Linked DNA regions of Arabidopsis thaliana. The protein of the gene in region 2 binds, or shares a complex with, the protein of the main gene of each other region. Each region holds a gene or a part of one and is shown on either strand. Other genes may lie near its edges.

Region 1 (6,519 bases), on a different chromosome or scaffold from region 2:
CTGTTGCTCGATGGAGGTAGCTGCGGTTTTGAAAGAGGAGGAGAAATGTGATGATGGTAGAGACAGAGAAGGCGAAGAGAGATGGAGTTTCTTTGTCTGCTTGGGAAAGGAAGAGGAGATGAGAAAGGGTTTCGTACGGCAAGCGGCGGCGGTAGGCGGCACCGCCACAGTCAATGCTCCGGTGACGCTCCACATTTGCTGCTGATTAGAGTCTGTTGATCGAGGCAGAATCTGTAAAAATCTTATCTTTTTTGCCGGGGGTCATCCATTATTATCATCACTCTCTCTCTCCCTTTCTCAACTCAATTTTTAATTGATTTTAATGTTATTTGGGCTTCAGTAATGGCCCAATAAGGTGTTATGGGTTTCTTCAAGCCCGTAAGAAAGAAAAGGGAAAGGCGTTAACTGTGACTTTCATGGCGACGGAGGCGGAGCTGAGATGCTGAACCTGCAAGTAACCGGGAAGACGATCTTATCTAGTATTCGTTGTCAGAGAAAGGTAAGTTCCTTATACGATCCAACATTTTGTCTCTACTTTACAAGTTAGAAGGATTGATTTTTGAGTGTTTTGATTGCTGCAGATGTCGTCTACTTGTTCTTCGTACGCATTTGGGCCGTACAAAATCGATCCCCGTGAAGTGTTCTACGCAACGCCTCTCTCTTATGCCATGGTTAATCTCCGTCCGCTTCTTCCTGGTATGCCTCATTCCTCTCTAATTATTCATCGAACCTCTTCAACTTTCTTCTGACCTTCTTTTTCATCTATTTTTTGCAGGTCATATCCTTCTTTTTTTTGTGTGTTCTTCATTTTTCGGTTTTGTTTTGTAAATTGAGTTCTATTGGATGACTTTAACCAGACGAGCACATGTTCTTGTCTGCCCGAGACGCCTTGTGCCACGATTTACTGATCTTACAGCTGATGAGACCAGTGACCTGTGGCTTACTGCTCAGAAGGTTGGCTCTAAGCTTGAGACCTTCCATAATGCGTCTTCTCTCACATTAGCCATCCAAGTAAACTAAACATCTCCTTTCTTTCGTCATTGTTTCTTGCGTCTAAATCTTAATGGATTGGAATTGAAACGATCTAACTTTGGTTTCATGAAAATGGCTTAGGATGGCCCTCAAGCGGGACAGACTGTTCCCCATGTACACATTCATATCTTGCCTCGTAAAGGTGGTGACTTTGAGAAGAATGATGAAATCTATGATGCTGTAAGTTGTTGCATTTTGATCACATTCCTAGCTTTGGTTTTATACAAATCTTATGGTGGTATCTTCTTGTAGCTTGATGAGAAGGAGAAGGAACTGAAGCAGAAGCTTGATCTAGATAAAGACCGGGTTGATAGGAGCATTCAGGAGATGGCTGACGAGGCTTCCCAATACAGATCTCTTTTCGATTGCTAGTTATCATTTATCAATATCAAATCAAACCAAGCTATCCAGTAGCTTTAATAAGGACCATTGTGACAAGTGACTTTCAGTTTGAAATTTTATGTCAGAGACTTTGATTCAAATTTGTAATTTCTTTCTAATGTCGCCCAATCTGGGTATAAACTAAGAGTTATAGCTTTGGTTGACACTACTTAGTGAGATTAGAATCAACTCCTTCATGTTATAAAGAAAAATTCCCACTTGCTACCATCCTCTCATGCCTCATTTTACACAATGAACACTAAATACTTGAACTAAACAATAGCAGAGATGTATAAATAAATACTGTCCCATAAGATCAGTGCGCTTTGGATACTAAATAACAAGCTAAGAAGCTTTTGATGGTTCTTCCCCTGGAGCGTCATCCTCATCATGATAGATGTTTTCAGCCATTTGCCATATTTGGAGTATGTTGTCCTCAGCAACACTGGAAATAACCCAATCTTCACAAGGGTTCCACGAGAAATCTGAAATTTTGCTAGTGTGACCACCGTGAATAAACAGCAGCTCAGGTGGGCCGTCTTCTGCGTCCTCCACTGTCTGTTCCTCATCGATCCTATCATAAGACACCCTCAAACATATCAATATTGCTCCTCCATGACCATACATGAACATTAAACTAAAGAACTAAAGTCTACGGCCCAAACCTGCTAAGGTCCCAAACCATAAGTCTTCTACCAAGGCAACATGAAGCTAAAATAGTCTCGTTCTTTGGGTTCCAACCAACTTGAAAAACCTCCTCTCTGGAGATCAAGCACATAATTAAGGTTAGTGATGTTGCTGTAACTTGTAAATACTTCTTAGTAACACAAAATCCATCTCAAAGCGGCAATATTTATGGCGTATCATTCTTACTTGTGGCTATCAAATGTGTGAAGAGCGGTGCTTAGCTTCCGTAGATCGAATAATTTAACAGTCTTGTCAGTTGATCCTGTTGCCACAACCCACTCATTAAATGGATTGAAGGCTAAGCAGTTAACCTAAGGCATTTCAAACAACTCAACAATTAGCAAATACATACGAGGCAATATGATTCAATGGTTTTTAGTGTTAAGGAAAGCAAGCTTAAAAACCAGAAGTATTATCTGTATCTAAAGCTAATATATTGCAAACTCACCTCCATCGAATGAGCAACCACAGACTGTACTGGTTTACTGGCAGATGGAGAACGCAGATCCCATATGAGAAGGTATTGGTCATCTCCAACTGATCCAAACAGGTACTCATGTCTCAGATGCCATGCAACATCTTCCACAACCCCTTCATGAGCCTTAAGTTCAGAAAATAATCATCAGCAAGGAAAACACAGAAACCAACCTGAATATCTATCTATGAGCTTTCATAAGTGTAACTGATTCCGTTAAGTGGGTGCAATTCCTTCCTTTCTAGATGATACAAAACAAAACTAAAAACGAATAGAAATCCAAAGCATTACCTTAAAAATCTGCTGAGCGTCCAGAGATTTGTTTTTAGGAGTAGCGTTAATATCCCACAAGCAGATCTGAGCATCATCAGAGCCACTAAGCAAATGACCCTGCTTGAACTTACTCCAAGAGAGACCATATCCCTCAGAGCTGTGACCTCTAAGCTTTAAATCAGGATTACAAGCCCCATCAAGAGGAGGCTTAGATGGATGCTTACTGTAATCGAAAACATAGACCTCCGCATTAACTGTCTTGGTAGCAATTATGAAAGGGTTTTGAGGCATATAGCGAGCTCGATTAACCTCACCATCATGATTTATCTGCTGGATAATTTGTACCTACACAAGCAATCAAACTAACATTTATCATCCTTTACCTCGTTATAACCCTAGAATCAAATCTAGAAAGTTGGAAATGAGAAACAAAAATAAAAAATCGCACCTTTCCAGTTGCACAGCCAAAGCCACCAAATTCAGAGCGGTCATCATCGTACTGACGAGCTTCACTCTCGGTATCGTCAAGAGGAAGCTGAACTTGGGCTAGCATCAAGTAATTGGGCTCGCTCTCGGAGGTATGGGTACCGAGAATCATCTTCTGAACGGAGTAGTCTTTACCGGAAGGTTCTTCACGGTCAGGAAGCCATTCAACAGTAAGTGAAGGCCACTCGAGAGCGTGAGTAATAACGAGATCGTAGAGGAAAGGAGTGTTCTTCTTCCAGATCTTGTACTCTTCATTGATTAGTCGCTCCTCGATCTCACCTCGCATTTCCTCTTCGTCTTTCCCCATATCGGCGATGTCTTTGTTATTCCCGCCACAAGAACAAGGCAAAACCCTAAAACAGATCTCTTTACAAATTGTAAGAAACTTCTCGCTTCTGTTTCTGAATAATTCACATATAGAAGATGATGAATAAAAAAAGGAAGAAGATAAAGAAAAGGCCCATTTTTGAAAAGCCCGTTTATGAAAAGGCCCAATTAGATGACTTTTGATCTTACACCAGTCAACAGAAGTGAGGATTGGAGAAAAGAGAGAAAAAATGGCGATGGAGATCGGAGAAGATGAATGGAAGGTTTGCTGTGGAAGCTCCGAATTCGCGAAGCAGATGTCTACGTCTGGACCGTTAACTTCTCAAGAAGCAATATATACTGCAAGAGACATCTGGTTCAACCAAGTTAATGTGACAGATTGGCTTGAAGCTTTCTCTGCTCATCCTCAGATTGGGAATACTCCTTCACCTTCTATCAACTCCGATTTTGCTCGTCGGAGCGTATCAGAACAGTCAACCGCCTTTGCCACAACTTCTGCTTCTGCTTTACAGGTGATGGATCTTCACTTTTTTTTTCCTTCATCTCTTCAGTGATTTCTTCTTCTGATGATCAATTGTTTTCAATTTCTTAGGAGCTTGCCGAATGGAATGTACTTTACAAAAAGAAGTTTGGCTTTATCTTCATTATTTGCGCTTCTGGCAGGACTCACGCTGAGATGCTCCATGCGTTAAAGGTCAACTTTTGCATTTCCAAATCAGTTTTTGTTGAGTGTGAGTGAATGAGAAAGTTACATATTCATCAAATCGTCTCTTTTTCAGGAAAGGTATGAAAATAGGCCAATAGTGGAGCTTGAGATTGCTGCTATGGAACAAATGAAAATAACAGAGCTACGAATGGCAAAGCTGTTCTCCGATAAGGCTAAAGTTATATCAGAAACTGACAGCTCTAGCTCTCCTGTTTCAACAAAACCTCAAGGTATATTGATGATTTACCAAATCTTTTCCTTGTCAAAGTTTTGTGTTTGACTGTGTGGGTTTGAACCTGTTAGGATTCAGTATGATATCAAGTATGTGTCTTTTGGAATACAAGGATTTACCCTTATGGCTATCTTTGTTATCTGTGTGACCTTTTCTACTTTCTCGCTTTGTAAGATCGTCTGAGAATCATTGGAGGGCATTTGAATGTTGCAGCTGAAGCAAAAGCTCCCAAGAGAAGTAGGCCACCGATCACGACTCATGTCTTAGACGTCTCACGTGGTGCTCCAGCTGCAGGTGTTGAAGTGCACTTAGAAGTGTGGAGTGGTACTACCGGTCCTTCCTTTGTTCATGGAGGTGGTGGGGTCTGGTCCAGTGTGGGCACATCAGCTACTGATAGAGATGGGCGCAGTGGGCCACTGATGGATTTGGTTGACGCTTTGAATCCAGGGACATATAGGATTAGCTTCGACACTGCAAAGTATTCCCCAGGCTGCTTCTTTCCCTATGTTTCCATTGTATTTCAGGTTACAGAATCACAGAAATGGGAGCATTTCCATGTCCCACTGTTGCTTGCACCTTTTTCTTTCTCCACATACCGTGGGAGCTAGAGCTATGCTACTGCTGTCTGCGGCACCAACTTTCCAACACATTTTGTTTTGGTTGTACCACTACGGGAACATGTATCAAAATTGCTATGAAATGAAGTCTTTATTCGACATGTATAAAAATTGCTATGAAATAATGTCTATTCGAGTATTTATTTGGATTTGTAGTTCTGTAGAACAAACAATGAATTAGCGAAAATACGAGCTTTGATCTAGACTCATTGTGAGTAGGACAACGATAGTATAGATTACCATGTTAAACATCTTGGGAGATTCTATACCTTTGTACAAAATGGTCGATCACAAAACAAGCCTCTAAAACTGTTGTGTGTTTTAATCTAGACTCATAGCCAGCAGGACAATAATAGTCTAGATTAAGACATCTTGGTCGATTCCAAACCTTTGCGCAAAATGTCAAAACAAAACAGCTTCTACTGGTATACTTTACACACCTCTACCTACCCTTCCTGAGCGTGTCTAAAGCTCCCTGGCTATATCTACCCTCATCTCCAAAAGTTCGCAAATTCTTTCGCAAATGACATTATGTTGCTCCACGAACTTGACCTTTCTTTCACCTCACCAGTTTCCGTCTCTTTCACCTCACCGGCTCCTGTCTCTGAAATTTGTCTGTAAAAACAAAAGATATAAGAATTCAAACTGAAGTGGTGCCAATATGATCAACTTGAATGACTTTTTCTATTACTCAAAAACAAGAGATCCATCAATGAAGTAAATTATCCTAATATAAGGATCGGACCAGTAAAGAAGAGACCTAGTTGTATGCATTTGATACCTGGTCTCAGTAGGCACAACATCTGCTGAAACATCAGCTCCTTCAAGATGGTCTGCTTTTGACTCTTGATTGCCTAAGTGCGTCAAGTTCCTCTCTTCATCAGTCTCCGAGTTTTCTATTCCCTGAGTTGCCTCTGTTTCTCTTTTGTCATCTTTTGCAGTAATGACAAGGTTGTTGCCCTGGAAATTACTTTCATCATCAGAATTAGAGTGAGAAGTATCTATTATATCCGGCCTCTGCTCACTTCCTATCTCAATATCCACACTGCCAGCCTGTGAAACAGAAACAAGGATAACTAAGCCAATTGATAACTGAAGCCTAAGGAAATTAAACTGATCACACCAAAGCAAGATTTTTTCTTTACTTGAAACTCAGGTTCAACAACCACAGGAGAGAAGTGTGAGGAAGCATCATCTGGTACAGAGGGAGAGACTTCTGAGAGGGTTTTAGCTTCTACGATTGGCACAGGTGCTGGAGAGAAGTGTGAGGAAGTATCAGCTGGTACAGAAGGAGAGACTACTG
Region 2 (9,441 bases):
TATTGACGCTTGTGTTGACGATTCACGAATATTCTGACAAGAAACGAAGACTAACCATGAGATCCATGTACTGATCAGCATCAAAGGAAGTGCTGTTGATGTTATCGAAAGAGGCGTTGATGGAGGAACCACTCGTCGAGATTGAAGGATCCGGTGCGTAGAAGCTCGACAATAGATCTCTCATTCTCTTCGCCTTTTCGTCCATCGGAGCTGCCTCCGTCGCCATTTTTCTAAACTCCTGCTTCTTCTCGACGACGAAAATATCTGTTACCGGAAGCAGAATTTTGGCGTCGGAGATTCGTAATGTGAATTGAAAAAGCAAGAAGAAACTGGATCCGACTAATCAACTGGGAAACGGATCCGTATCCGATTCGAACCGGAATACGGTTTAGCAGTCGGATTACTTTTTATGAGATTAGGCACTGGTTTAGTGTGATTGGTTCGTTCACTTATTTTAAATCAGTTTTATTCGTTGAAAAGTACATAGATTGGCTTTAGCTGTTCAAAAATCCATAAATTTGAAACTATTTTTCGAAATGATACATTTTTACTTATTGACCCCAATAATTCATAAATTGTTTTATCACCTATACAAAGTCCAAACTCGATGTCAAAATAAAATAAAATCTCAACTCTATAATAATTAATTAATAAAGACAAGCTTAAGTTATCAAACTTCAAATATCATCTCTCACAACTCTATAAGTTATTTTTATAAAAGTTACTTCTCTTAGCCAGTAATCATCAATGAGATTGGTGCTTTCTGGCTCTACGATGAGTAATGGCTGAATCATCTTTCTTGGAGCCTTCAGGTTTGCGAGCCCACACTGGTGCTTGGTCTGGTCCATATCTATAGTCATAGAAAAGCTCTTCGCTAGCTTCTATTCGTTCGTTTGCAAAAATCCCGACCCTGTGATCTCCTGCTACAAACATCACCTACACCACACAGAAAAAGACACCGTACTTATGCGGGAAGCGATGAGACCATGGTTACTACGACAATAGACTGAAAATCGCTCTTTTTTGTAAATAATTAACACCTTTCGAAAAGGGTTGAATAAATCTAGCAGATGATATACACATGTTACTTTACACATTACAATCATAAAGATTGTAGAAACAAGTGTGTTTTGATCATAACCTACAAAGCTAGATTTGATCATCTGTTTTCTATAGTGCTAATTGCGATTAGTTTCTACAAAATGTTATAATCCTAGTCCTCCTTCTAAATGGAACTTTTGAGTGGCTAGAGGTGAGAAAGAAGGTATAATTACTAACCGATCATGTGGTTTTTTCATACCAAAATGGATATGAGAGAGAAGCATTTAGTACCTTAGCGTAGCAATTGGGTTTAGCTGAGTGATTGGCAAATTTCAGCTTGTCACCTTTGCGTTGAGCATCGAGGACGTACTGCAAATATCAAAAGCTTACTGACATATGCGAAATTCAAGAGGAAACTATCAGAAAGAAGGGTGAGAGATTTGGTCACCTGATCATTCAAGTCAAAGAGGAAGGACGAATTTGCCCGGTCATATATTTTCCCACGCTTATCCGCCTCATGGTGTGAGATCAATTCACCGGTGTATTCTCCAAGGTATTCATTTTTGCTGACCGAGTTCTGATGATCAGATGAGGTTCAGATTACATACAAGAGGTATGAAACAGAAGTTAATGAGGAAGATATTCACATGCTTTACCTTTAGAAAAGCACCCCATCCAGCAACATCAGACTTTCCCAATAGGATCTGGTAAATATAGCACATGAGAAACTAGATTTATCAACAATGAATGCATTTTATTTTTAGTAAATACATGATTTGATGACAGTATTATACCCTCTGTTGTTGCCTCAGGAGAAGTCTCATGTTTCCGCATTGCCCTTCTCCGCGTCTTGGTGCTTCACCGAGAGAACCATCTCCACAACTGAGTGAATAAGCAAGGCATCTTAAGTTACTCATCAAATAGTAGATTTGATTGTATATGGCACATCAAGAGATCTAGATTTAAAATGACTACCTAACCCAGCAATTTCTGCAAACATCTGGATCACATTCTCTGCCAGCAGCAAAGCAGGGACACTGCCTACTTCTGCATTGACTCTTTGCACAATGACATCCTCGGAAACGATTTTTACAGCTTTTTGAGCACCTGAATTAAATCAATGGATGGTTATAAGAAGATCCTCTGTTACTTCAATTGACGTTAATTTGTTTGCATACCCGCAATATTTCTCGCAGCAAGTTTCATTAGTTAGACAAGGGCAATCCTTTCCGCACATTGACAGGCATCCACACGGCGTGTATTGTTTACAGGACTGGTTTTTGCCACCAGCTATTCTTTTCCAGACAGACGGATGACCAGCAGACTTTGTAGAGTATTTTAGCTTCCGGGTTTTGCCTTTTCTACGGAACAATCTTGTCCTTGGAGGCACCTCATCATTCTGTCAAGTAAAGTAAGAGAGCGGTAAACCAAAATATGATTCTGACAGACATGGCATGCTAATATCAATAAAATCTCAAATAAAATAATCACTTGTCTAAGCCAACTTATGGTCAACTATCGTTTTCTCTTGTCCAATGCAGGTATCAGGGAAAAATTAAGCAAGGAAATTGGCTTTTCCGGATCAGAACTTTTTTCTTCTGGAATAGATCTCTAACCCTATCAGTCTGACAAGCTAACTTTCAATACAACAATGCCCAAAGTCGCAGATACTGCAGAAAATTTGAAAAGACAAAAGACCCTAGGAAGATCAAGAGCTTACATCATTCCCTGGGTCAGTCCTGCCATCATCCAACAGCAAATTTGGGGTACTAGATCTTCGAAAAACTGAAACTTCGTTTTCACGCATGTAATTGGACACATCTAGGCATGTCTTCAAGCCAGAAAGCAGGTTTCTTGCAATAAGACAGCTGAGATAGCACGGACAAAACATACTAGATGTAAATACGTTATAGGTGTTCTGTGTTTAAAGATAATAATTTACCAAGATCCAGTTTACCTGTTTCTTCCAAAGATTTCGACTCCCTTCAAGTAAAGATCCTTCTCGATAGGATTCCACTCTGTAGATGGTCGACTTGTCTCAGACATTTCTGCAATGATTATTGCTCCGTTTCCACTACCATGGTGTGGCTGACAAATTGAGGAACCACCATCATGGACCGAATTGTCTGGAATAGGCTCACCTACTTCTTTTGCATCAGCTTCTGAGTCTCTGTTTACTTTATTGTCAGTTGTTCCACCTTGATCACCCTTTGTGCTATCCAATGCCTGATCTAAGCTAGGGACAGAATTAACAAATGACATTTTTGTATCTGAGGCTGCGGTCTTCTGTTTCTTGTTCGATAAATTAGGCAGATCATTGGAGTCTTTTAGAATTGGGACCTCACGCTTTCCTCTAATTCCATGCTCTTGTTCTACACCAGAGGATGAATCTACATTCTTGATACCAATATCAGTCTTCTCAACTTGCAGACTGACACCACTAGCAGCAGCATGGGGAACATCAGAGGAGACAGCCTTGCTGCATTCCTCTTCTGAAGCTTTCTCTTCTGCTTTAGATGCAAAATTACTGCATGTTTCTGGTACTTCTCTGACCGCCTTGAGCTAAAATCATTAACATAAGAATAATGGTGATTCAAACTCTGGAACCAAGAAAAATTACTGCATAAACAAGACTATGCACTAGTACAACTACAATGAAAGATCACTCCTCTAGCAAACGCATACATGCTAAACCTCAATCTAGGTCAGAGCATATATTCCATGATCTCACTAATGAATATAGTTTATTAACTACGAATATACAAATCACTCTGAGAATGTAAAGAGACAGAGAGAGAGATAGACCTGGAGGTAACAATGTTTGCTGCAGGGTTTCCTATCACCTTCATAATCAGACCAATAAGGCTGTTTTTCACTCTGTCAACCAAAGTTCTCTTGTTATGTTGTCCACTGAAACTTTAGCAATACAACTAAAGAAAGTAAAGACAAATTCAAGCTTACAGCACTAATCAAAGGCTGAGAACATCCATGCAGACGACAGTCAAATACCTGTTAGAAATAACCAAAGAAGGATTAACATGATTAACAAACACTTAATAATACATGCTCTCTCTGTCACAAAGAACAATCCAAGTACCAAGCAACGGCGGCAGAAAAGATTATCAAAAGAATCTAGAGCTGCACCAAGGCCCTTTTCCAGAGATATTCCCAGCTTGAATCCGGAATTAGAAAATTCCTCGGTATTCTGCTTATCCTTCAACTTGAGCTCATTGTATCTTTCCTGCAGCAGACAGGAAAGCCAAACATCATTAGTGAAGAAGAATAGGAAGACCAGAAAAACATCATTAGATAAACCACAAGAACAAGATGACTAAAAACTGCACCAGGATATCAGAAGCATCTACGCTTAGCAACTGGCAAAGGGCATCCTGCACTTCCTCACCCATGCCATACTCCTGCCCAATTAACCTGCCAATTCAAGTCAAACGAGGTATGAAGAAATTCATATATAGTGAGATATATTTCAAACCTAATGCTAATGAAGAGTCTTACAGAATGAAATTTGATATGAATACGAAATATGACATCTTTTTTTAGCATCAACAAATGTGATTCATTGGTTAATAAATTCCACCCAGGTACTTCTTCAAATACCAGTATCACAATTTTTCCCCATCAGAGTACATGAGAGTCCATAATTTACACTCTCTGCAAAACTAACCATATAATGGAATCTTCACCCTCGGAAAATTCACGTTTTTCCTCCTCAGGTTCTGGTTCTTCCTCACTATCGCTGCATATTAGCGTCTCACCACCATGTTGTTCATAGTAGATTTGTCTTCGACCAACCACAGACTGATCTTCAGCCATTCTTTGATTTCTGCATGGTTAAGATATTTTTTCAGAAAAGAAAAACAACACATAATATGAAAACTGAATTTGATGTTCTAGTCTATTGTTCAACTGAATTTAGAATAGCATGCTACCAACGCAAAAATGAGAACTAGAAAAGGTGCATGCCTGTCCAAAAATATCCAGGTAGTGTATGGCGGTATTCTCTCAGCAATAGGAAGCTTGACACTTGCTGATATAACATCCTTAGTAGGAACATAGTCTCTATCTCCCACACCATGAGAAAAACCATTTAACTTGCAGAGTGGCATTCTCATTCTCGAAGAAAGCATATTGCTATTTCCATTATCCTCTGCGGTAGCTCGGCTCGATGCAGCAGATGAAAAGGGAGAAACATGAGCATCCACTTTCTTTCTATTAGCCTCAAATTTCTCCTACATTCCCAGGAAAACAATCAAAAACGGATAAATGATTTCAAATTTTTTAGACATTAGTATAATTAGTAAAGAACATCAAGTATAGAAACTCTCTTACTTTAATAGACCTAACTCTTTCTCCTTGAATTTTCCTTTTAAGCTCACTTAATCTGTTTTCCAAACCCTCGAGTCTATCTTCTTCTTCTTCACCATCATCATCATCATCTACATGAGACTTCTATTCAGAAGCCCAAATCAAAACAAAAATCGTGTAAAAAACAAAAGCAACGAGGAAAAACACTAATTCTATAAGGTCCATCAACTCCAACAGTGAACAAAAGTAAGAGAGCGATTATAATTTGATGAACTCAAACGGATTTCACGAACAATCAGCTGAAAAAACGCGAATGATCATGCGCATACGAGCAAAATCAGATAATAAATCAAAAAAAAAAAAAAAAGAGGAGATTGAAAGGTAAATCTGAGTACGATTCGTCCAGAGGAGTTGCTATCGTCCGTCACCATTGATGACTCCTCGAGCTTTCCGCTTCTCTTCCGCTCGAACTTTCTCTCTCTCTCTGCTTTTTCCGCAATCAGACTTGTGAGAAGGACGAACGGAGTGTGGACTGGAAGGGGGGTTACATTACATACAAAGAACGCCACACGTGTGAATGAATAGTGCTTATACGTGTGTAATTTAATTAGTGGTTTTGCGACAATTATTTTCTATTTGTGATTATAATTGTATGTTATCTTAAAGATAACTATTACGACATGCCTGGCTCTGGAGCCGTTGAGGCTAATAATGGCTAATATTATTAACGTCAAAGTCTCTAGAGCCACACAGGTTATAGCAGTTACGTTTGAGATAAGTATTAGTTGTAAAGTAATAAACTCTGAACGTAAAAATATTAAGATATTTGTGATTATAATTGTATTTTATCTTAAAGGTAACTACTATGATTTGTGTGGCTTTAGAAACTTTGACGTTAACAATACTAGCCATTGAGGCTAAGAATATTAGCTGTAAAGTAAAAATCTCTGAGCGTAAAGATTTAAACTGTAAAGATTTTTTTTTTTTAACATATGTATGCTTCTTATAAACTTGTAAAGGGAGATACAAATATCTTTCTAACCATAATGGTGGTACAGAGAATTAATTAACTGAGCCTTTTTAGATAAGATGTCCGCAGCTGCATTTCTTTCCCAATTAACATGTGCTAAGGAAGAGAACGGAAGCTTCACCATCCAATAACGAATATCATAAAGAAGAGTGATGATCTTATTATGATCACTCTGCGTATTGATCAGATTTACTAGCTCTGCATTATCGCTCTCAAACCACACATAAGTACATAATGTAGTCCTCGGGACCAAGTCACTTGAAGGGCATGAAGAAATCCGAGAGCCTCTGCTTGAAGAGATAATTGTGACGATTGAAGTTGAGCACGCCCTGAACTAAGGAAACATCCATTGCAATCTCTGTAAATCCATCCTGAATGTATGACAGTCCTTTCCTGAACATAACCACTATCAAAAATAATAATAATAAAAACTGTGATTTTAACTAATAAGAAAGGAATTACTTTAAATATTGGTTTGATACCATAAAAATTATATTTAAAATATTAGTTTTTCAACAGATTATATTTTATTTAGATTATTCCATAAAAAAAAAGTATTATACTGTTACTTTTAGCTGTAAAAACTTTTACTGTAAAAAGCCTTTAAAAATTAACAGTACAAACTAATCACCTGTACATAGTTTTTTTATATTGGAAAAAGTATATTCAAATTCTATTTGTATATCTGATGGTTGTGGCAAATATTAATTAATTAACGCAAAAATATATACAAAATTCTATCCTCCAATAAAGGAGAATCCAAAATCCAAAGAGCTGTAATAATGTCCCAAACTCAAAAGCTTCTCTGGTGGAAATTTTCTCACCGTAAGTGGGAGAAAAACAAATAAAAAGAAGAAAACCCTGGCTTCTATCATCGGCCTTCGTGAAGATCTTCTGAGAAAACAGTTGTTCGTGTAATATTTTCATGATCAAAAGCGCTTAGACCAGAATAAGGACCAGAAGAGAACATAGAAGAGGTTACTTCTGACTCGAACGTAGCTGATGATTGTCTCCGGTTAGGACGAGCTTTATTTGAAGTGTTTAAAACCGGGTCTTGATACTCAACCACCCGTTGAACCATTTTAAGTGACTGAACCACTTCGCCCATCGTTGGTCTCTGGCTAGCTTCAGGTGCAACACAAGCTGCAGCGATTGTGCATACTCTTATGAAATCTTCTTTCGGGTATTTTCCTTCAAGTCTTGAATCGACTAGTTCTTCTAACCGGTCTTTGTCTCTTAAAACTGGCCTTGTCTGCATCCAGAATCAAATTTTTACATTCGAGACTTCAAAAGCTTAAGTTTTCGACAATGAAAGTGCAGGAAGATCTAGGAGATGACAAGAACTTTCTACTTACCCAAGTGACGAGATTTTCTTGGCCTGAAGGTTGTGACATATCCACAGGTTTTCTACCAGTTAACAATTCGAGAAGGACCACACCGTAACTATAAACATCACTCTTGACGAGTAGGTGTCCCGTCATTGCATATTCAGGCGCAACATATCTGAAAACAGATCGCGGATTCAATAGGCAACTCAGAATTTAAGGTTGTATATGAAAACTGTCGAGAGATATGAGCAACTCACCCAAATGTGCCCATAACACGAGTAGATAAGTGATTACCCCTGCCTTCAGGAGCTTGTTTGGCTAGGCCAAAATCTGCAACTTTGGCGTTGAAGTTGTTTTCAAGGAGTATATTAGAGGCTTTAAAATCTCTGTGTATAACGGAGGGTTGCGAGTCTTCATGAAGGTATGCAAGTCCTCTTGCAGCATCAAGTGCAATCTTCATTCTGGTGTCCCAATCAAGAGGACAGTTCAACCCGAGAGGCCCTGAAGCATAAACAATGACTTAAATAAACCACTCTTGTAGATGAACTCAGTGTACAATAACTACTTTTGACAATGTCAGATCTAAAAATAGGCAGCAAGGGAAGCAAAGAGGAGATATTACCATGGAGCCAAGCCTCGAGGCTGCCATTTGGAACAAGCTCATAACAAAGTAGGTGCTGAGAAGAATCTCGACTACTATAGTAACCCACAAGTTTCACAAGATTACGATGATGAAGACGGCTAAGCATATCAATCTCCACCTGGAATTCTTTATCACCTTGTGGCCCACCACTTGTGAGCTTCTTAATCGCTACAGCAGTACCATCGGCTAAGATGCCTCTGTAAACCTTGCCAAACCCACCTTCTCCTAGAATGCTAGCAGATTCAAAATTGCTAGTTGCCTCTTTGAGTTCTTCATATGACAGAAACCGTGTACTTGCTGGGTGAGGAAGAGATCCCCCAAATGAACCAGCGTCCAGGTTCCTTGGTTTTACTGAAAGAAAGGAATATGCGATCAAGTTTTTACTAAGAACAAGAACTAAAAGTTAATTGCCAGGATTTAGGAAAGTAACATAAATCACACTGGTAAGTGGACAGCAATCATTCATCATCTATGTATCCCCATTTTTCTCAATCCTTTTGTTTGATTCCTAAGGTCTGTTGGCTTTTTACATAAGGTCTGTTGACAACTAACAACACAACTTTAAACCCAATATAAAAGTTGACATTATCCCAACATCTATGCTAACTTCCCAATGTGCTGCTCACATGATGTGTACCTTTTGACATGATTCACGTATTCCTAACTGAGATCGGCCTATAATTTAAACCTTGTAATCAGAAGAGGTACATACCAGCTTCTTTGTGAGGATCTGGAGCTTTCTCTTCTCGGAGTGCGCGGGAACAAATAACAAGTACAGTGATTATGGCAAGTATAAGCACACCAGCGGCTATAGAAAAGATAAGAATAAGATTGGGATGCCTCTTTTTCCCTGGAGATCTTACTGACGTAGTTGCTGAGGATCCTTGTGATGGTGCTTTATGAGGTGAAGAAGCCACTAGAGGTGCTGCAAACATATTAAGACCTATCTTAGTGCAAATGCAAGGAATCATGGTGATATACTCCAAAAAGCATCAAACTGGGAGATGCTTTTTTAACATAAAAAACTATATCAGTCTACTTTCTTTCGGCTATGCTATCTTGAATGTGATGAAACT
Region 3 (7,882 bases), on a different chromosome or scaffold from region 2:
TTCGATAGAATTTCTAAGAGAGATGTGGTTTCTTGGACAGCTATGATCTCGAGGTTTTCTCGATGTGGATATCACCCGGACGCGTTGTTGTTGTTTAAAGAGATGCACCGGGAAGATGTTAAGGCTAATCAGTTCACTTATGGGAGTGTTTTGAAGTCGTGTAAAGATTTGGGGTGTCTGAAAGAAGGGATGCAGATACATGGTAGTGTGGAGAAAGGGAATTGTGCAGGGAACTTAATTGTGAGAAGTGCATTGCTTTCTCTTTATGCCAGGTGTGGAAAGATGGAGGAAGCTCGTCTTCAGTTTGATTCAATGAAAGAAAGGGATTTGGTTTCTTGGAATGCTATGATCGATGGATACACCGCCAATGCTTGTGCAGATACTTCGTTTAGTCTGTTTCAGTTGATGCTCACGGAAGGTGAACTACTTAATTCAATTCTTCGTACATATTTCAAAACTTATGTGACTCAGTTTGGTTATATAGCTTCTTGTGTTGTTATGTGTTAGGGAAGAAGCCAGACTGCTTCACCTTTGGAAGCCTCTTGAGAGCTTCTATTGTCGTTAAGTGTCTTGAAATAGTCAGTGAATTACATGGATTAGCGATCAAGCTGGGTTTTGGGAGATCAAGTGCACTAATTAGGTCTCTGGTTAATGCATATGTGAAGTGTGGTAGCCTTGCCAATGCTTGGAAACTGCACGAGGGCACAAAGAAAAGAGACTTACTATCTTGCACTGCTCTAATTACAGGTTTTTCACAGCAGAACAACTGCACAAGTGATGCCTTTGATATCTTCAAAGATATGATACGGATGAAAACAAAGATGGACGAAGTTGTAGTATCCTCGATGCTTAAAATATGCACCACCATTGCATCTGTAACCATTGGAAGACAGATCCATGGTTTTGCCTTAAAATCTTCCCAAATCAGATTCGATGTTGCTTTGGGGAATTCGCTGATAGATATGTATGCAAAGTCTGGGGAAATCGAGGATGCAGTCCTGGCTTTCGAAGAGATGAAAGAGAAAGATGTGAGATCATGGACCTCTTTGATTGCAGGATATGGAAGACATGGGAATTTTGAGAAAGCAATTGATCTTTATAACAGAATGGAGCATGAAAGGATCAAACCGAATGACGTTACATTTCTTTCTCTCCTCTCTGCTTGTAGTCATACAGGACAAACCGAACTAGGCTGGAAGATTTACGACACAATGATCAACAAGCACGGAATCGAAGCTCGAGAAGAGCACTTATCTTGCATCATAGATATGCTTGCGCGCAGTGGCTACTTGGAAGAAGCTTATGCACTGATAAGAAGTAAAGAGGGTATTGTAAGTCTTAGCTCATCAACATGGGGAGCTTTTCTTGATGCATGCAGGCGCCATGGGAATGTGCAGCTCAGTAAAGTAGCAGCCACGCAGCTTCTGAGTATGGAACCGAGGAAACCAGTCAATTACATCAATTTGGCCAGTGTGTATGCAGCTAATGGAGCATGGGACAATGCTTTGAATACTAGAAAGCTTATGAAAGAGAGTGGTTCCTGCAATAAAGCTCCAGGATACAGCCTTGTGTATTGAACTAAGAGAATAAGACAAAATCTCCAGAAAGGGTATACACTGTGGTACAAGGGTGGACGTTAACAAGGCTACAAAGAGCATCTCAAGGTCTCAGGGAGTAGCAACATGATCAGAATTACAATAAAAGAATGGATATCTCATTTCTTCGCACTCCTAATTCATCAATTCCTACAAGACTCAGACCGCTACTTGGTAATCACGTCCCAGCGCCATATAGTCCCGTCCTCGCAGCAAGCAAGAATCGTGCTACAATCCCATGGAAGAAACAGTGTGTCAGAATCCAAAGTTTGGTTTGATTTACAGTAACTATTGAGTCATAAATAACATTAAGAAATTTTCACTGCATTGGTGAGAGAGAAGATGGATTTATACCTTCCATCGACAGACATGGCTGTTTGCCTGATTACAGACTTTGATTGATTGTGTGATAACCTATATGGCAACAGAAAATCATGTCAAGACTAAAACATTTCTTAAAGATCAAACATTGTATCTGAATCCGAAACTAACTTACTTTGTAATCAAAACAGGAGGGCAACTTTTCAAATCCCAGACATAAACCTTTCCTTCCTGATTACCTGATAACAAACCAGCGAGTAATTTGTCACAAAATGAATAAGAAAAGTTGAAGTAATCTATCTATAGAATGCAAATTTGTATCTAACGAGCTCTCTGATTACCTATCGCAACAGAACTTAAATGGAGGTCACAAGAAAACTTGATAAACCAAATATCACACATTGGAACCGGGTATCTTAATAGAACATCTGAAGCTCCCTGCAAACCACAAAAAGTTCAACTGTAAATATATGTGATGAAATGAATGATTATGTTGTGTTTGGAGCAACAATGAGATCCTAACCTCGCCAGGAGAATTCTCTTTCAGTTGTGGTTCCCACAACAGGATCTCGTTGTCCACACTCTAAAATCCGATAGAACAACACAAGAGTAAAGTGTTTTAACAGTACACCAAATGAATTAATCTTAACCATCATTGACTTACTAACCTTTGAGAGGATAAAATCACCAAACCAACGGTTACAATCTACATAATTTGTATGAATGGAAGCTGTAAATACCTACATATAGAAGTAATGTTATTTACAAAGGCCATCACCAATATTTGTATGTCACTTGTTGTTACAAGACAAGGCTAAAACAAAATACTTACAGGGAATTGGACAAATTTTGTGGGGAATTTTGATGGATCATCAGTCCATGTGAATGACTTCTCGACGTACGTCCAAAACTCTATAGACAGCCAAAGAATAAGAAGATCATACAAACGAACCACAAGCCATTTTTCTCAAAAGGTTTTTTAAAATGGAAGTTTATTACAATATGTGCTCGATCGTACCTTTCATTGACCATATTTTAATAGTGGTGTCCATACCACAACTAGCAAAGCGGTAAATATCAGACGGATGAAAATCCTACAATTTTCAAAATAAGATGGTTCCCCTTAACATTGTCTCTATATATTATTGTAGAAAACTAACTGAATTAGATAAAACAATATTGGCTCACCACACTTAGAACTTCATAGCGATGACCTCCAGCTCCAGCAAATATCAAAATACATATCCCAGTTTCAACATTCCACAAACGAACAGATTCATCCTTATTCAATTAAAACGTAACAGCTCTTAATCACCAACAAATAAAAAAGAAGTCAGGATACTTTAGGAAGAAAAGAAAGCCAAGAGATATACCTTGCTAGCAGTAATCACAAGTTGAGGTTTTAAAGGTTGTGTCCTGATTTCGTTCACTGAATCTCCATGACCCACAAGACTCTGCACATTTGCGAGCACAGATTATACAAGAAAGATATAGAATCATTTGCTAGGATACATAGAACATCCATAAAAATGCAATAATACCTTATGAATCGTTTCACTGTTGACGTCAATGACTCGGATTATACCTTTTACTCCTCCAGCCGCAACATATGGGTTCCCATTAACGCCACACGCCCAACTTACCGTGTAAAACGACTCTTCCTTCTGCTCTCCAGAGGACATAGACAAAATATAACCAAATGGCCTCAGTGAAACATCACTTACTTTAATTTGATGGAAAAGCTAATATGTATGCTTCCTTACATCTTCATCAGCATAGGATTGCAATGCTGATATGGCACCATCTCCGAGACAATTGTACAGAGTAATCTACATAATAAGAGATACACCAATGGCAGTAATGAGATTCATGAACTAGCTAAGTAAAGGTTAAATGAAAGAACCCCTTGGTTAAAGCTTCTATGAGAAACTCAAATATTTCTAACTAGTAAATCATTCAATTTAAAATCCAACGGAAACTAGGAAAGATGAAAAAAACTACAACTAGTTAAGATAAGTATATTGAGACTGAGCAACCAAACAACCTTAGTGCGGAAACTGTTAGGCACACAACATTATAAAGAGAATGAGACCTAACCAAGTGTGTAAGATTACAAGTTAACTCTACTCATTGCCGATTGGACCCCAAGGACTTTCACATGGTATCAAAGCCCACTAATCCCAAATGCTCGACCGAAGACGATTACAAATTAACTCCACTCATTACCGATTGGTTTTTCATGGAACCCGAGAACTTTACGCGGTATCAGAGCCTACTAAGCCCAAACGGGTATCCGATCGATGTTTCGACGAATACAAATGAGCCTAAAGAGCCACTATCAGGTACATTCGGAACCCACATTGAAAACAAAATAGAGCAGTCTAATGTATAAGGTAATGACTTCACTCTATCTAGTTTCAAAATTAGAAAAAAAAATAACTTCCACAAAATCTCCAATACAGGAAAGCTTAAACTAAACGCTTCATAACTCACTTGATGACCGTTTCAAAAGGAACCTCCTTAGATAAGCAGACTAACAACATCAACCAAAGTTTCAATTTTTTTTAGAACAGAATGCAAATCAAGTGTATAAGGTAATGAGTTCACTTTAAATTAGAAAACAAAAACCATATCTTCCACAAAATCTCCAAAACCAGAAAGTTTGAACTAAATGTTACATAATCTTAGACTATAGCATCAAGCAAAGTTTCAATCTTTTAATCTCACTAAAGGCTAGAAATCAGAATCCAAAATCAAACACAAAAGGAAAGGCCTTAATGTTACAATCAATCTGAATCAAAACCTAAACAGACCCAGAATTGAAAACAGTGATTTCGAATTGAAAGTCGAGATCTTTTACCCGATTTCCACCAGCGGTAACGAAGACATCGAAGAAACGAGCATCAAGGAAGTTGAAAACAACAGCATACAAAGGTTTCTTCCCTTCCTGAATCCTATTCGTCACTTTGTACGATTTCTTATTCGATGGAGTCAAAGACCCAACTATTGACTCGTTCCCTAAGGTTATCTTCGACATTCGATATTCGAAATCTCTCTCTCTGTCTGACTCTCGCACACTAATCTAAGCTCACAAGTCTCTCATGCAACAACAACTGGTGTTTTGTAATTTTCGATTAGACACAGATTCACAGGTTATTAAAATTACTGTAACCGTAGATTTTGACCTCACGACAAACTTTTATTTTGGACCTGACACAACACACAACTCACCTTTTAGAAAAAAATGGTAAGAAAAATCAAATTTAACGTTTTTTAATAGGACTTAGAATTAAACGTTACGATGAAAAATAAATATATTCTTTGATTGATACGATCGAAGTTTACCTATTTGTCTTTCTTTTTTTTCAAAGGAATATTATAGATTTGATTGAAATTTTCTGAAAGTAGTAATTATTTAATATGTAATCTTATATTATTGACCATTCATTACTATTAGTTTTACTAAAAATGGTTAAATGATATAAGGTTTGGATTTAAATGGTATCACGTTTTTATGTTTTGAAAACATTATTTTGTCAATTACATACATTTCTCAATTTTATGTAATTCTTTTCTTCCACCCAAATTTTACATATTTTTTTACCTTTTTCTCAAATTTGATACTCAATAGCTACAATTCCAACAGTACCACATATTTTTTCCATCAAGTTTACTGTATGCAAATATGGATCATTTCTTCTGGACTACACCTCCGAGAGTTTATATATCATAGTATCCATGGGTAATACGATACTTATGGAAAGTTTTATAAGATTTACTTGTAATATTGCATTAAGCCAAAATGGAGGAACGAACTTGGCTCTATAATCGACCATAGAAGTGCTCTGTTTTATTTAAAGCTTACTTTCATCTCTTACCTTAAGTTTTTATTTTATTTTCTTGCACTTTAACTAAAATAGATTTTAGATACACCAAAACAAAATCAAGATCACCGATATAAGAATTAAAAAACATAGATGCAACAACTAATAGACAAACCATAACCAATTTGAAAATAGAAAGTGTGCTAAGTAGGTTTGATGTCCGCCTATTTGAAGTTGTAAATAAATTGATTTAACATTTTATCCTCTCACTGTTGTTATTTACCATGATATCTCTTCGTTGAGAGCATTTTACTTATTTAAAATGTATTTAATGGATTTTTAAAGGGTTTATTTGAATACTTTGGAATACTTTTCCAAATAAGTCACATTATCAAAAAAGAAAATTAGAAGTTCACTATTTGGATATAACGATTTGAACATCTCCAAACAAGATAATCAAGGTCCAAACTTTGAGAAACTCATCGATAACGACAAAATTTGCGATAACGACAAAATTTACGATAGAGTCCAATCAATGTTTATAGGAAAGGAAGACAAAAAAATACATGGTTATAGTTTATTTTAATATATGTTGAATGTAATATATGAAATTATAGTGCTTTAATTATAATTTGAAATAATCAGTTTACAACGGTACAAATTATATAATTTAAACAAAAAAATAGTTTAAAGCAATTATGGATAATTTTCGAGTGGTATTGTAGAATATCACGTGTGGAAAACACATTTGTTCAAAAAAATTTAGAGATCTATAGAACCTCTAGTTTTAAACCCTAGGAGTAAACAAGTATTGAAAGCTTTTGTGGTTGTTGTGTACTTGCTCGCTTCCTCGTACAACTCTTATAGGAAAATAGCATTTCTCCTAGCACTAAGTTCTGGAAGCGAATGCTCCCAAAATCTCACAACTAATTCACAATTGCTCCTATAGGATCGAATAATACGTGAAAACTGAACTGGTATCCGAGTAAAAACCAAACTAAACACATTACTCTTCTAATTGTACCCGATAATTTTTTATTCTTTCCATTCTAATTTTTTTATTCGATTAAATTGAAATTTTCCGGATATTTTGGATATTTTTCAATAGTTTGAGAATCTAAGTAAAAATATTTGAATTGAACAATATCCAAAAAAATGCACTTTATAATTACCACCTTTGTACCAATCCTATTATAAATTCAAGTAATCAATATATAAAAACAAAATTGTACTAATAAACGATGACTAGAAGAAAAAAATCTAGCATCTATATAAAGTATAAAACCGACCGAAAATTCTAGCCGTAGATTTAAAACGAAAAAGTTTCTGATAAAAAATGATTAAAAATTAAGCAGTAAAATCTATCCATTTCATATTATCAAATTCCCTACAAAAGAAAAGTGTTTAAAAAAAATATTGAAGGAAAAAGATTCTCTTGTTGTAAGTTCTAATCTCCCTCTCAGTCTTCTCATGTTATTTCCATGGTTGGTCTTAAAGAAATTTTTACCGTTTTTTGAATATTTAAATGTCTCTTTTTCAAAATTAAGATCGATTTGTCATGTAGCAATCATGATTTGACGATAATCACATTTCTCATGCCTTATTGTTGCTCTCTAAATACGTGCTTACATATATATGTAAACGCATATGTATTTGTCTATTTGTATATATATGCACCAAAGCAACACACGATCTCCACAAGATTAGTGGATCGATTAGCTGCTTCAGATCTGAAAAAATAAAAACTAAAACTTTTGTTGATCGATTTGCTTAATCTCTGTAAGTGTTTTTTTTTTTTAGAAACTCAAATAGTCATGCCCTACTCATATTTTTTGTTTGTTGTTTATAGGAACCTTGTTTTTCTATATGTGATTCTCGAAAAATGTTTTTGTAAATTGTATTCATAAAACTACTGTCTAAACTTTTATATCAAGTTGTTTTAATTGATTTTCTTGAACTTTTCTATAGTGAAAAATGGAGCCGGAACTGGACTTAACACTGAAGTTGGGTTTGCCAAATTCGACTGTTGAGACACATCTGACCTTAAGCCCTCCCACCACCACCACTGATCAGGTCTTATTTCATTTATTTATTCCTTATTATTATTATTTTTTCACTATAATTTATTGATATGAGCATGAA

What was found.
Region 1: SWN (region 2) and MSI1 share a complex: the UniProt entries of both Arabidopsis thaliana proteins name them as parts of the plant homeodomain / polycomb repressive complex.
Region 3: SWN (region 2) and FIE share a complex: the UniProt entries of both Arabidopsis thaliana proteins name them as parts of the plant homeodomain / polycomb repressive complex.

Annotation. Positions count from the first base shown.
Region 1 is NC_003076.8:23,553,234-23,559,752, reverse strand, and holds MSI1 (Transducin/WD40 repeat-like superfamily protein), read right to left. Parts: upstream 3,742-6,519; 5' UTR 3,642-3,741; coding exon 3,297-3,641; intron 3,194-3,296; coding exon 2,867-3,193; intron 2,702-2,866; coding exon 2,549-2,701; intron 2,412-2,548; coding exon 2,287-2,411; intron 2,175-2,286; coding exon 2,079-2,174; intron 1,988-2,078; coding exon 1,759-1,987; 3' UTR 1,508-1,758; downstream 1-1,507. Other genes in the region: EMB3143 (YCF54), read right to left, coding at 1-195; FHIT (FRAGILE HISTIDINE TRIAD), read left to right, coding at 440-499, 582-696, 863-1,011, 1,114-1,212, 1,285-1,404; TTL (transthyretin-like protein), read left to right, coding at 3,892-4,173, 4,254-4,355, 4,441-4,597, 4,774-5,207; AT5G58210 (hydroxyproline-rich glycoprotein family protein), read right to left, coding at 5,708-5,831, 5,998-6,269, 6,362-6,519. UniProt on the Arabidopsis thaliana protein: Core histone-binding subunit that may target chromatin assembly factors, chromatin remodeling factors and histone deacetylases to their histone substrates in a manner that is regulated by nucleosomal DNA.
Region 2 is NC_003075.7:883,047-892,487, reverse strand, and holds SWN (SET domain-containing protein), read right to left. Parts: upstream 5,909-9,441; 5' UTR 5,796-5,908; coding exon 5,760-5,795; intron 5,509-5,759; coding exon 5,389-5,508; intron 5,289-5,388; coding exon 5,023-5,288; intron 4,883-5,022; coding exon 4,724-4,882; intron 4,471-4,723; coding exon 4,386-4,470; intron 4,283-4,385; coding exon 4,139-4,282; intron 4,051-4,138; coding exon 4,003-4,050; intron 3,919-4,002; coding exon 3,847-3,918; intron 3,604-3,846; coding exon 2,999-3,603; intron 2,910-2,998; coding exon 2,762-2,909; intron 2,441-2,761; coding exon 2,220-2,440; intron 2,149-2,219; coding exon 2,017-2,148; intron 1,924-2,016; coding exon 1,836-1,923; intron 1,746-1,835; coding exon 1,698-1,745; intron 1,619-1,697; coding exon 1,490-1,618; coding exon of another isoform or gene 1,411-1,489; coding exon 1,333-1,410; coding exon of another isoform or gene 1,282-1,332; exon of another isoform or gene 937-1,281; coding exon 745-936; 3' UTR 501-744; downstream 1-500. Other genes in the region: AT4G02030 (Vps51/Vps67 family (components of vesicular transport) protein), read right to left, coding at 56-226; AT4G02010 (Protein kinase superfamily protein), read right to left, coding at 7,266-7,646, 7,750-7,897, 7,980-8,223, 8,345-8,716, 9,078-9,290. UniProt on the Arabidopsis thaliana protein: Polycomb group (PcG) protein. Catalytic subunit of some PcG multiprotein complex, which methylates 'Lys-27' of histone H3, leading to transcriptional repression of the affected target genes, mainly abscisic acid (ABA) responsive elements.
Region 3 is NC_003074.8:7,247,302-7,255,183, forward strand, and holds FIE (Transducin/WD40 repeat-like superfamily protein), read right to left. Parts: upstream 5,152-7,882; 5' UTR 4,954-5,151; coding exon 4,777-4,953; intron 3,934-4,776; exon of another isoform or gene 3,746-3,933; coding exon 3,680-3,745; intron 3,581-3,679; coding exon 3,458-3,580; intron 3,371-3,457; coding exon 3,290-3,370; intron 3,198-3,289; coding exon 3,105-3,197; intron 3,011-3,104; coding exon 2,935-3,010; intron 2,829-2,934; coding exon 2,749-2,828; intron 2,657-2,748; coding exon 2,585-2,656; intron 2,500-2,584; coding exon 2,440-2,499; intron 2,355-2,439; coding exon 2,258-2,354; intron 2,156-2,257; coding exon 2,092-2,155; intron 2,010-2,091; coding exon 1,950-2,009; intron 1,824-1,949; coding exon 1,763-1,823; 3' UTR 1,578-1,762; downstream 1-1,577. Other genes in the region: AT3G20730 (PPR superfamily protein), read left to right, coding at 1-418, 508-1,577; GATA29 (GATA transcription factor 29), read left to right, coding at 7,715-7,813. UniProt on the Arabidopsis thaliana protein: Polycomb group (PcG) protein. PcG proteins act by forming multiprotein complexes, which are required to maintain the transcriptionally repressive state of homeotic genes throughout development.